Xenopus tropicalis: one gene and its partner. The protein of the gene in region 1 purifies or fractionates together with the protein of each later gene. This does not show direct contact. Links are inferred from orthologs where the notes say so. Each region holds a gene or a part of one and is shown in the gene's direction. Other genes may lie near its edges.

The links. The genes of interacting proteins can lie anywhere in the genome.
Region 2: the proteins of raf1 (region 1) and cct8 purify together in Homo sapiens (affinity purification with mass spectrometry; 4 studies listed by BioGRID and IntAct, with this or other methods). This does not show direct contact. The link is inferred for Xenopus tropicalis from reciprocal best matches to the Homo sapiens genes RAF1 and CCT8.

Annotation. Positions count from the first base shown.
Region 1 is NC_030680.2:153,464,211-153,470,565, forward strand, and holds part of raf1 (RAF proto-oncogene serine/threonine-protein kinase), read left to right. Parts: intron 1-3,043; coding exon 3,044-3,128; intron 3,129-3,512; coding exon 3,513-3,689; intron 3,690-4,830; coding exon 4,831-4,877; intron 4,878-5,482; coding exon 5,483-5,601; intron 5,602-6,162; coding exon 6,163-6,294; intron 6,295-6,355. UniProt on the Homo sapiens protein: Serine/threonine-protein kinase that acts as a regulatory link between the membrane-associated Ras GTPases and the MAPK/ERK cascade, and this critical regulatory link functions as a switch determining cell fate decisions including proliferation, differentiation, apoptosis, survival and oncogenic transformation.
Region 2 is NC_030678.2:16,667,377-16,673,731, forward strand, and holds part of cct8 (T-complex protein 1 subunit theta), read left to right. Parts: intron 1-716; coding exon 717-807; intron 808-1,287; coding exon 1,288-1,367; intron 1,368-1,504; coding exon 1,505-1,654; intron 1,655-1,744; coding exon 1,745-1,925; intron 1,926-2,007; coding exon 2,008-2,069; intron 2,070-2,684; coding exon 2,685-2,822; intron 2,823-3,415; coding exon 3,416-3,594; intron 3,595-4,663; coding exon 4,664-4,730; intron 4,731-5,112; coding exon 5,113-5,200; intron 5,201-5,859; coding exon 5,860-5,975; intron 5,976-6,064; coding exon 6,065-6,136; intron 6,137-6,227; coding exon 6,228-6,355. UniProt on the Homo sapiens protein: Component of the chaperonin-containing T-complex (TRiC), a molecular chaperone complex that assists the folding of actin, tubulin and other proteins upon ATP hydrolysis.

The DNA of each region.
Region 1 (6,355 bases):
TAGGGTTCTCTCCCATAACACCCCTCTCCCTCCCAGGGGGAAACCCCACAACTTCCCATCTCTCCCTGTAACACCCCTTTCCCTTCTTAACATGGAACCTTCTTTCCTCTAATCATATTGGCTGCTTCCTGTCTGCTGGGAGGAGCTAATATTAAATAAAGCATCCGCCCCTTCCTTGTACCTATCTAATGTATCTGCCAGTACCACTGATTCAGGGGGGGGGGATCCCACAACTTCCCAGCCCCCCTGTAACTCCCCTTCCTTGTACCTATCTAATGTATCTGCCAGTACCACTGATTCAGGGGGGGGGGGTCCCACAACTTCCCAGCCCCCCTGTAACTCCCCTTCCTTGTACCTATCTAATGTATCTGCCAGTACCACTGATTCGGGGGGGGGATCCCACAACTTCCCAGCCCCCCTGTAACCCCCTTCCTTGTACCTATCTAATGTATCTGCCAGTACCACTGATTCAGGGGGGGGGGATCCCACAACTTCCCAGCCCCCCTGTAACTCCCCTTCCTTGTACCTATCTAATGTATCTGCCAGTACCACTGATTCAGGGGGGGATCCCACAACTTCCCAGCCCCCCTGTAACTCCCCTTCCTTGTACCTATCTAATGTATCTGCCAGTACCACTGATTCAGGGGGGGGATCCCACAACTTCCCAGCCCCCCCTGTAACTCCCCTTCCTTGTACCTATCTAATGTATCTGCCAGTACCACTGATTCAGGGGGGGGATCCCACAACTTCCCAGCCCCCCCTGTAACTCCCCTTCCTTGTACCTATCTAATGTATCTGCCAGTACCACTGATTCAGGGGGGGGATCCCACAACTTCCCAGCCCCCCTGTAACTCCCCTTCCTTGTACCTATCTAATGTATCTGCCAGTACCACTGATTCAGGGGGGGGATCCCACAACTTCCCAGCCCCCTGTAACTCCCTTCCTTGTACCTATCTAATGTATCTGCCAGTACCACTGATTCAGGGGGGGGATCCCACAACTTCCCAGCCCCCCCCTGTAACTCCCCTTCCTTGTACCTATCTAATGTATCTGCCAGTACCACTGATTCGGGGGGGATCCCACAACTTCCCAGCCCCCCCTGTAACTCCCCTTCCTTGTACCTATCTAATGTATCTGCCAGTACCACTGATTCAGGGGGGGGGATCCCACAACTTCCCAGCCCCCCTGTAACTCCCCTTCCTTGTACCTATCTAATGTATCTGCCAGTACCACTGATTCAGGGAGGGGGGGGGGGGGGCACAACTTCCCAGCTCCCTGGCTGTGTGCCAGTGCTGGGGGTACATGGCTGTTCAGAAGGATCTTGTGCCCATTGCAGCACTGTGATATCCCCGGGGCCATTAGTTCCGTGAAGCATTGGGGTCCCCTCTGTTAGTGCTGGGCGGTATACCGGTAAAAACCGATCACCGGTGTTTTTTTTTAAACCGATATGTATTTTCTACATACCCCCATACCGGTGTGCTTGAATACTTCCGGGTGCGCACGTGACGTCAGTGCGCACGTGACGTCAGTGCGCACGTGACGTCAGCGCGCACGTGACGTCAGCGCGCACGTGACGTCAGCGCGCACGTGACGTCAGCGCGCACGTGACGTCAGCGCGCACGTGACGTCAGCGCGCACGTGACGTCAGCGCGCACACTCTACAAAAGCGCCATCGCATTCAGAGTCGGATACCAATGTGAGCTGGTGGGGGTGCCTGGCAAGTAATTATATTTTATGTGAAGGGGATGGGGGGGTGTTATTTATGTGAAGGGGATGGGGGGGTTATACTTATGTGAAGGGGATGGGGTTGTGTTTGGGGGGGTTGTGGTGGGGTGGGGGGTTATATTTATGTGAAGGGGATGGGGGGCTGTTTGGAGTGGGGTGGGGTGGGGGGGGTGTGCGGATGGGGGTGTGTGTGCGGATGGGGGGTGTTTGGGGTGGGGGGGGTGTGTGCGGATGGGGGGTGTTTGGGGTGGGTTGGGGGGAGTGTGCGGATGGGGGGGTGTTTGGGGTGGGTTGGGGGGGGAGTGTGCGGATGGGGGGGTGTTTGGGGTGGGTTGGGGGGAGTGTGGCGGATGGGGGGGTGTTTGGGGTGGGGTTGGGGGGTGTGTGCGGATGGGGGGGTGTTTGGGGTGGGGGGGGTGCGTGCGGATGGGGGGGTGTTTGGGGTGGGGACGTGCGTGCGGATGGGGGGGTGGGGGGGCTGCGTGCGGATGGGGGGGTGGTGGGGGGTGCGGGTGGCGGGTGTTTGGGGTGGTCACCTAATCATGCATGGGGGAAAAAAAATACCGTCAAATACCGTGATACCGATATAATTTTGAAAAATACCGTGATATAAATTTTTGGTCATACCGCCCAGCACTACCCTCTGTGCATGTAAGCTGTTGGGCCGGGGCCGGTATCGGTTCATGGAAAGGAGAAGGAAGCAAAATAAGATTTTGGCCAGTGGCTGTAACTTCGGGCGTTGTCCCTAAATTGGGAATTACATCATGTGGATTCCTGACGTCTGCTCCAAATGTTCTCCTTGTACTTGACATGAAGAATGTCCCACTTGGGCAAGGGTTTCGGGAGTGTCTGTCACGCGGTGGGATTTCCTGGCTGCCCCCCCGTGTTACTGGGCTTGTTACACTGCATGGAGACATAAGCTGCCCATACCAACACACCAAGAAAAACTACCTTTTGCAGGGAGCTGCCATTGTACCAGCTTTTTGTCCATTGCTGTACCAAAGCATGCTGGGAGATGTGGGGTGAGCAGCCATTGCTGTACCAAAGCATGCTGGGAGATGTGGGGTGAGCAGCCATTGCTGTACCAAAGCATGCTGGGAGATGTGGGGTGAGCAGCCATTGCTGTACCAAAGCATGCTGGGAGATGTGGGGTGAGCAGCCATTGCTGTACCAATATGTCAATATGACCTGCTGTGCAGTATTGCATCCCCAGCGGCGCCCCCTAGTGGCTTAGTTATGAATGAGCGCATCAGCGGCCCCCACCCTGTGTATAATATATATGATGTTACTCACTCTAATCGCTTGTTCTGTTTGGCAGGGGACGTGGCAGTGAAAATCCTGAAGGTGACCAATCCAACGCCAGAGCAGCTCCAGGCATTCAGGAATGAAGTTGCTGTACTTAGGTGAGTCCTGGACGATCTGCCCAAGAGCTAACCATCTGATTGGCTCTTTCTACCTTACTGAGTGTAGCTTGGCTGGGCACCGACAACTCTCCCTGACTTTGCCACTTGCATGCTGAGCTGGTTAGCCAGGTACTGGCCCAATAATCCTATCATACTGCCGGCCTACAGAAACCTGCTATGCACGCATGTGCTACTGCCCAATTACCAAAAAGATATCAGTTGGGTAGGTCCTTCCGAGGGCCCCATTCAGGGGCCAATAAGCTGTTAATTAGGTTTACGTCTGTATGCCAGACCCCATTGCTCCATAGCAGAACAACAGGCGCTGCTGCCTCACTGCAACTCCCATAACCCCATTTCTCTCCGTATTATTATCCTGTCCCAAAGGAAAACGCGGCACGTTAACATTCTGCTTTTCATGGGCTACATGACCAAGGAGAATCTGGCCATCGTCACGCAATGGTGTGAGGGGAGCAGCCTGTACAAACATCTCCATGTCCTCGAGACCAAGTTCCAGATGTTCCAGCTCATCGACATCGCCAGGCAAACGGCACAAGGGATGGAGTAAGTACTGCCCTGTGGGGGGCACCCCTCTACTTATTGGGGGGACTAGTGAATGCTTTCTGGCTGTGAGTTTGTTATACTCGGCCATTCATGTTCAGCATCTTTGGGTGATCCCTTCCCTCTATGGGGTCCTGTATGTGTCCTGCTGGGACCTGCTGTGACTCACTAGTATAAATCTGCCTTCCTGGCCTCTCTCTGCCTGGCTGTCTGCCTTCCTGGCCTCTCTCTGCCTGTCTGTCTCTGCCTTCCTGGCCTCTCTCTGCCTGTCTGTCTCTGCCTTCCATGGCCTCTCTCTGCCTGGCTGTCTGCCTTCCTGGCCTCTCTCTGCCTGTCTGTCTCTGCCTTCCTGGCCTCTCTCTGCCTGTCTGTCTCTGCCTTCCATGGCCTCTCTCTGCCTGTCTGTCTCTGCCTTCCTGGCCTCTCTCTGCCTGTCTGTCTCTGCCTTCCTGGCCTCTCTCTGCCTGTCTGTCTCTGCCTTCCATGGCCTCTCTCTGCCTGTCTGTCTCTGCCTTCCATGGCCTCTCTCTGCCTGTCTGTCTCTGCCTTCCTGGCCTCTCTCTGCCTGTCTGTCTCTGCCTTCCTGGCCTCTCTCTGCCTGTCTGTCTCTGCCTTCCTGGCCCCTCTCTCTGCCGGTCTGTCTCTGCCTTCCTGCCCTCTCTCTGCCGGTCTGTCTCTGCCTTCCTGGCCTCTCTCTGCCGGTCTGTCTCTGCCTTCCTGGCCTCTCTCTGCCGGTCTGTCTCTGCCTTCCTGGCCTCTCTCTGCCGGTCTGTCTCTGCCTTCCTGGCCTCTCTCTGCCGGTCTGTCTCTGCCTTCCTGGCCTCTCTCTGCCGGTCTGTCTCTGCCTTCCTGGCCTCTCTCTGCCGGTCTGTCTCTGCCTTCCTGGCCTCTCTCTGCCGGTCTGTCTCTGCCTTCCTGGCCTCTCTCTCCTTGCCCAGTTAACCTGCTGTAGCTTAGAACTGAAAATTCAATGGAAAATGGCAAAATAATGGTTGTTTTAGAATTGTGCAACTTGGGAAACTCTAGGCTCGTTACAGGCAGTGTAATTACCGGCAGTGGGATAGCGCTCGTTACAGGCAGTGTAATTACCGGCAGAATCTCTCCTTACAGCATTTGTCTCATTGTCTCTCTGCTTGTCTTTCAGTTACCTCCATGCAAAGAATATTATCCACCGGGACATGAAATCCAACAGTATCCTTTCTGCCCTCTGTGCCAGGCTGAGCCCCAGGCCCCCCCCCTGCCTGTGCCCTGCACCCTACCCACCTACCCACAGTTGTTTCATTTGTTGCTAAAGTGTGTGTGTGTATATCTGTATATTGGGAGCGGTATTGTGTGTATATACTATATACTGTATAATGTAGTGGGGGGTCCCTAAGCGCAGGTAACTGACAGCAGCACAGAGCATGTGCTGGGAATCGGCAGAAAAGAAAATGGGGGGCTACTTGGGGCATCATCTGGGGCATAGATCTCCCCAGCTAAAGGGGGGTGGGGGAACATTGGCTGCTGTTGGTGGGAATAGTTGCAGTTGGTCACCTTTAACATGTAATCACATTTGAATTAATCCTGCGGGCCCCCCTTATAGATATTTTATCAGGGAGCAGGTAATTCTTGGGTGCTGTGGGGCAGGATGGGGGAGCAGTTGTTTGGTGCCTGGGGGGCAGTTACTTTCTGCTTATGTACTTGGGTACCATGATATCCCGCTCGGAGCCAGTAATGACTCCTGTGACTGGGCATTGGTCACTGTGCAGCATGTGACCTTGTCAGAGCTCAGTTGTGGGCCTTGATTCGCTGGACAGATATCTTTCTCCATGAGGGGTTAACCGTGAAAATCGGAGACTTTGGATTGGCCACGGTAAAGAGCAGGTGGAGCGGTTCCCAGCAGGTGGAGCAACCGACAGGCTCCATACTGTGGATGGTAAGGATGGGGCTCTGTAATACAGGGCTACTTGTGGGCAACTTGTAGGGACTGCCCGGGTACAGCTCATATGGGGGCACTGGGAGGGGCACTGGGAGGGGCTTCTGTTTTACCTGGAGCATTTAGAGAGTGGCGGTTCATTCTTTGTATCTGGCCTATGGGAGAGAGGGGGCTGAGCTGTGTCTGCCTCTGATTGGATATAGTTGCCCTGTGATGTGGCCCTTACAGGGGCAGAACAGATATTGGGCCCATTTCTACCCAATAAACACAGGATTATTTGTTCCATTTGTGTCACTGGGTTTCTGCATCTACTTTTAGGACTGAGCTTTTAGGTCACATTCATAATATGGGGCGGGGAATTGCTGGCCACGCCCCCAAGCAGATGGGCTGTCTCTCCTTTTACTTAGGGGCTGTGACGAATCAGAGGCTGCCTTTCCTTCTTGGGGGGCACAAGGTTTAAGGCACCCCCACCTGTGGATGCCATAGTTACTGTATGTTCCACTGCATTAACCACTAAATGCCCAAGGTTTGTAGTTAAACTGCCCCCTGTCTGCCCCACAGGCCCCAGAAGTGATCCGCATGCAGGACAATAACCCCTTCAGCTTCCAGTCGGACGTCTATTCCTATGGGATCGTGCTGTTTGAGCTTATGACCGGGGAGCTGCCCTACTCCCACATTAGGGACAGGGACCAGGTGAGTGACACCTACACTGTGCGCATCAAGGACTACTTGCCCTTTAATTGACTATTATAGT
Region 2 (6,355 bases), on another chromosome or scaffold:
AAGATGTCCCGCACTCACAGGTCTTAGATTAAAGAGCAAGGCAAGCAGATTAAAATCCTTTATTGTGCACTTATACAGACCCCAGACAGAGTAGGACGCTAAATCAAAACCAGCAAAATATGTACCGTTTGTTGTAAAATCGCTTTTATGCATCCTCACTCACTCTGCTGGTACGCGCCGCCATCTTTAATTCCCCCTGCTTCTGGCTTCACGACGAGTGTCAAAATGCGCATGCTCCAGCATCGCATCCACCCACTGACCCCGTGATTATGACCCGTGACCCTTCATGCTGTGTGCAGGAGCGCATACTGCGCATGCTTCGTTTCAGACACTGTCCAGGACAGCGATGCTTGGGAGGAGGCTGGGAGAGCAGTGCCATACAAAGAAGTGGAGGTACATGGTTGATTTTAAAGTAGATATTTCCTTACAGGGGACTTAAATTAGAACATTGCAGTGTTAGAATGCACAGGATGTAAACTAAGTTTTGCTAAGTTGTGCAATGGTAATCGACTTTACTTGCTCTTTAAATAAAAGGCGTGGATTGAATAAACTCCTTTTATTTAACCTAAGACCTGTGAGTGCGGGACATCTTCACTTTCTACTATATATATATATCTCTGTACAGCGCATTGGCATATGTTGGCGCTATATAAATAAATAAATATTTGTTGGTGGCTATACTAAGTGAGCTGCATGCTTTCTTATTTCTCTCGCAGCACTATTCTGGATTGGAAGAAGCAGTGTTCCGGAATATCCAGGCCTGTAAAGAGCTCGCTCAGACTACTCGCACAGCGTATGGGCCGAATGGTAAATTGTCTCATGGGTATTTTCTTTTTGTCTGTTGCGGGAATACTGACTCAAGAAATGCTTTTTGCACAAAGTAAGAAAATGTTATTTCAGTCAGTGCTTCACTTTACAAGAATTAAGCACTTTCAGTGGTTGTGAGCTATAACAGATATGTAAGTGCAGTCGTGTATGTTTATTTCTCCAGTTCTTGCTCCCAAGCCATTGTAGAAGATTTTAGTTCTCCTGTGGGCCTGTAAATCGGCAGGCCTACTACATTATTTCATGAGTCAGAACCAGCAAAGCAGAGAATATAAGCAGCCAGACACGCACTGCTTTCCATAGCAATTACATTTACACATAGTGAAAAGGTTCAATGAATGTATATCGGCAAGTTCCTTCGACTAAAAGGTTCTGGGATTTCGTTTCTTGAACTCTTTGCTACACCGCCCTGTAGACTGTTTGGCTGTCTGTAATAATGTTGTTTCTTTTTGTATCATTTAGGAATGAACAAGATGGTTATCAATCATTTGGAGAAGCTTTTTGTTACAAATGATGCTGCCACCATTATACGGGAGCTAGAGGTGGGTAAAAAGCACATTTATGTTACTATCAGCATGGGAAAGAAGCCATCTCATTGGTTGGCTACCAGTCTCCTTGATCAGATACATTGAGCATTGGGGGTTGGAAGTGATTGATAACTCAGTGTTGTTACCTGCAGGTCCAGCATCCGGCTGCCAAAATGGTTGTCATGGCTTCCCACATGCAAGAGCAGGAAGTTGGAGACGGCACTAATTTTGTTCTGGTCTTTGCTGGCGCTTTACTTGAGCTGGCAGAAGAGCTTCTGCGAATGGGACTGTCTGTATCCGAGGTAGGATATACTTTCAACTCAGTTAAGTTTAATGGGTGGATATGAGAGCTGGCAGAAAAATGTTACATTTACTGTGTTGTGATTCTAAAGGTGATCGAAGGCTATGAGAAGGCCTGTAAGAAAGCCTTGGAAATCCTCCCCGACCTGGTGTGCAGCTCTGCCAAGAACTTACGTGACATTGATGAAGTTGCGTCCCTTCTTCAGACTTCCATCATGAGCAAGCAGTATGGCAACGAGCTCTTCCTTTCTAAGCTCATTGCCCAGGCATGTGGTAAGTATATGTCCCAGGGATTTACTGTCTGTGACTGCCCATATACCCTTTGTTATTGTAATGAGCTCCGTTCTTCTTTTAGTCTCCATCCTGCCCGAGTCTGGCCATTTTAATGTTGATAACATCAGAGTGTGCAAGATTTTGGTAAGTGAGACACATCTACAACCTAGGGGTGACTCCCTTAGAATTCCTTGGTTTTAGAGTTCTCTATATTTGACACCTGATTTTTAAAGGGGACATATTGTGTGAAAAACAGGATTGTGCCAATGATTTGCACTCATCTAAATATAGAAGGAATGGGCTTTAAAAAAAAAATTTCTCCCAAAAGGCTACTAGCCCCACCCATCTGTGCCATTTCCTGCTGCCTCCTTTCCCAAGCTGTACAGGAGGGCCGGCAACACCCAGCACTGGAACCAATCAGCAGCTAGGCTTACCTGATAGGGAACTGAAGCCTGTCTGCTTGTGTGACTTTAGGGCTGGGATTGGCTATGCCCCTCCCACTGTGCTTCTGGCAGGGACCATTAGGACACGCCCACCCCTCATTTGAAACACAGACAGGGACCTGAGAGGATCTATAGGGAGCTCCAATAAAGGGGCAATTTTTACAGATCGTATTAATTTTTAAATATACCTCCCTGGCTTTTGCATCCCATTAACCCCTACGACCCTGGAATACAAAGTCGAGGTTGCACTCTAGTTGCTGAAATCAAACAAAGTATCTTCTGTAAGTAATCCTGGGGTTTACTGTGACTTTTGCAGGGCTCAGGTATCTGTGCCTCGTCTGTCTTGCACGGCATGGTTTTCAAAAAGGAAGCAGAAGGCAATATTTCTTCTGTGAAAGATGCCAAAATCGCAATCTATTCCTGTCCATTCGACGGCATGATCACTGAAACTAAGGTATGTGAGGCGGTGCAACATATTGGCTTTATCTCTGGGTGGGACAACCCTGATTCTACCAGATTCTCTCCATTAAAACCATATCATAGCTAAATCAGATGCTATTCGGCGAGGATTATTTCCCCTTGCTGCCATAGATCATGCAACCTACAGTGCTAGTAGTACTCCATTTATAGAGCGGGTCATAAATGTATCCATTTCTGGCTTCTTTTTGTTTTTGCACGTCATGGGAAGTCTGCTGTTGTATAAAATATTAAAGGTTTTTTTTTTATCTACAACATATATTAGACATCATTAAGACAAGTTTATAGCCAGATCTGGTTGTAGCATAAAGGGCATTTTTCGTGGACCTCCAGAATTATAGCCACACCTTCAGAGTAAGGTTAAAAGGCATTTAGTAATATGTATAGACTTCAGGGTTCAATTTTGAACTCTGGGAGTTGTAGCTCAACAATAACTGGAGAGTAACAGATTGAAGGTGGCAGCTTTCTTGCCTCGCCAGGGACCCTAGAGCAAGGCTGTATGGGTAATGGAAATGGTTTGATTATTTAATGGAAGAAATCTCGAGTGAAATTGCTGGTATGTTTTAATAGGGCACCGTGCTGATAAACAGCGCGCAGGAACTGATGAACTTCAGCAAAGGCGAAGAGAATCTCATGGAAGAGCAAGTAAAGGCAATCGCAGAAGCAGGGGCCACTGTTCTTGTGACAGGGGGCAAAGTTGCTGACATGGCTCTCCATTACGCAAACAAGTACAACCTCATGGTAGTAAGGTAAGTGCTGTGTTTTGCCCGATAAGACATTGCGCCTCTATAGATTACCATCAAACACCATTTTGTCTGCTGTGTCCCTATTATGTCCCTGCCATAAGATCCCTTAGTCCAGATTTATATGGCCGCCGGGTAGGTTGGCCAGTCAGTCAGGGTTCTCTGGAGACTTTCCAGGCAGGAAACTGCATCTTCTATTATGGTAGTTTCTCTACACACCTCCCTTAGTGGCAAAGTAGTACAGATACTATTATGTTTATATAAAGTACTGTATATACTTGAGTATAAGCCTAGTTTTTCAGCACCCAAAATGTGCTGAAAGTCATCCTCGGCTTATACTTGGGTCGGGTGTCATGGGTCCCTCCAGACTGGCACCCTTCTTTTCCTTTTGTGTGCAAATTAAACCACCCACAACCAGACCCTCCAGTGCCCTGGCCTCTCTCAAATTTATCTACCATCCTCACCTGTCCCATTCTGCACTAGACATTGCACTTTATATTCTATATAAACTATATATAGTTTTGAAGGATTTTAACTGTGTTTTAGCTTGGTTGCTGATTGAGCTAAGGGGATGTAATACTCTTAAGGTATCATTGTTGATACCATATTGTTGTAGTTGTCCCTCTTCTCCACTTAGAGAGCTAGTGTACTGTTTTTCTTTGAAATAAATATTGAAAATCATATACCCCACTGATGCCTCATTTAATGTAATTTTATTGGTATTTATTTTGATTATTGAAACTTAGCAGTAGCTGCTGTATTTCCCACCCATGGCTTATACTCGAGTCAATAGGTTTTTCCAGTTTTCTTAGGTAAAATTAGGTACCTCGGCTTATATTCGGATCGACTTATACTCGAGTATATACAGTAACCCTAAATAGTATAAAATAATCAGTGAAGGATTTGTGTCTCTAACATAGAGTAGCACCCCTCTATTTGTATCTGATACAGTAAAACTTTAGCACTGTGTGACTGGTCCCAGTCTGATTAGTATAATATGAGGTTGGCTACCAGGCAGAGTTGATGTTTATTAGCTATATTAGCAGTCTTATAGATGCATTTTCTATTCGTTTAGGTTAAACTCCAAATGGGATCTTAGAAGACTGTGCAAAACTGTGTGTGGAACTGCCCTTCCCAGGCTGGTAAGTATTGCATATACAGCTGCTGAAATACCCAGTGCCCTTCATGCAACTGACATGAATGTGGAAGCATGTGTGGCAACATGGTAGAGACATGTATGTACTCATAGCTGTGTGTAAATAGAAATATCTGGTAATCTTTGCCAGTTATCACCCCAGAAAATATTACAGTGCAGTCGAATAATTAGGCCTTAGAGCAGTTGGATCAGGTATGGGTTAGGGTTGGAGCACAGATATTTGTCGACCTGTACATCATTAATGCGAACCAGACTTTTATAGGTGTATATATTTATTTTAGGGCTAGGTTTCCCAGTCTTTGGTTATTAAGGTTGTTCTCTAACCATAAAAATATTTAATCCTCTACAAACACGTTTTTCTCTTACAGACCCCTCCTACAGCAGAGGAAATGGGGCGCTGTGACAGTGTTTACTTGTCAGAAGTTGGGGATACACAGGTTGTTGTGTTCAAGCACGGTATGTTATTTAATGTTTCCCTTGCTTTCTATTGGCTCTAACACAGGTCACCCCTTTCCTTCTCACAGACAAGAAATGGGAGTGCAGCTAGTGTGTAAAGGTGGCCATACACGGGCCAATTGTAGCTGCCGATATCGGTCCCTTGGACTGATTCAGCAGCTTATTGGCCTGTGTAGGGGCAGGAACAAGGGGCATGCCCGACTGATATCTGGCCTAAAATTGGGCAGATATTGATCAGGCAGGTTAAAAGATTTCTTTGGATCGGAGACCACATCGGCTCGTTGATGCGATCCCCGAACTGTCTGCCCCATTGGCCCCAGGGCCAAACGATCGAATTAGCCTACATTTTCCCTGATATTGCCCACCCGTAGGTGGGGATATCTGAAGAAGATCCGCTCGCTTGGTGACCTTGCCAAGCGAATGGATCTTTACGTGTATGGCCACCTTTACAGTCTGGGTTTGGAGGGAGGTGCCTAATCTGTGTGCAGAATCCTTACTGTATTCAGTGGGAGTCCTTGTCCTTTCTGGTTAAATTAAGGTGTATCTTTATTATGGAAACAAACTTTCCCTTTAAAGGCAGCAGTGCAGTTAATGTTTTATTCATGTTACCTTTCACATTTTCGAATTTTCCTGATTTCTCTCCATTGCTCTTCCCTTAGAAAAGGAAGACGGCGCCATTGCTACGGTTGTGATCCGTGGCTCTACAGACAATCTCATGGACGATGTGGAACGAGCAGTAGATGACGCCGTGAATACTTTCAAAATCCTCACAAGGGTCAGTGATGTTTCCTCCGCACTTGCAGCCCACAAACAGTACTCAGTATGGACCAAACCATGTTTATTTGTGTTTCTCGTTCATTATAGGACAAGCGCCTTGTGCCTGGAGGCGGAGCCACTGAAGTTGAGTTGGCAAAACAGATCACATCTTATGGAGAGGTAAACCTGCATATGAACTGTACCTCCCACGACAACAGAGTACAAGCCACAGAGATCCCATTACAGTCTATCTCCTGTTTGTTCATTGCAGACCTGCCCTGGGCTTGACCAGTACGCCATTAAAAAGTTTGCCGAAGCATTTGAGTCCATTCCAAGAGCATTGGCGGAAAATTCTGGTGTCAAGGCCAATGAGATCATCTCCAAACTCTACGCAATGCA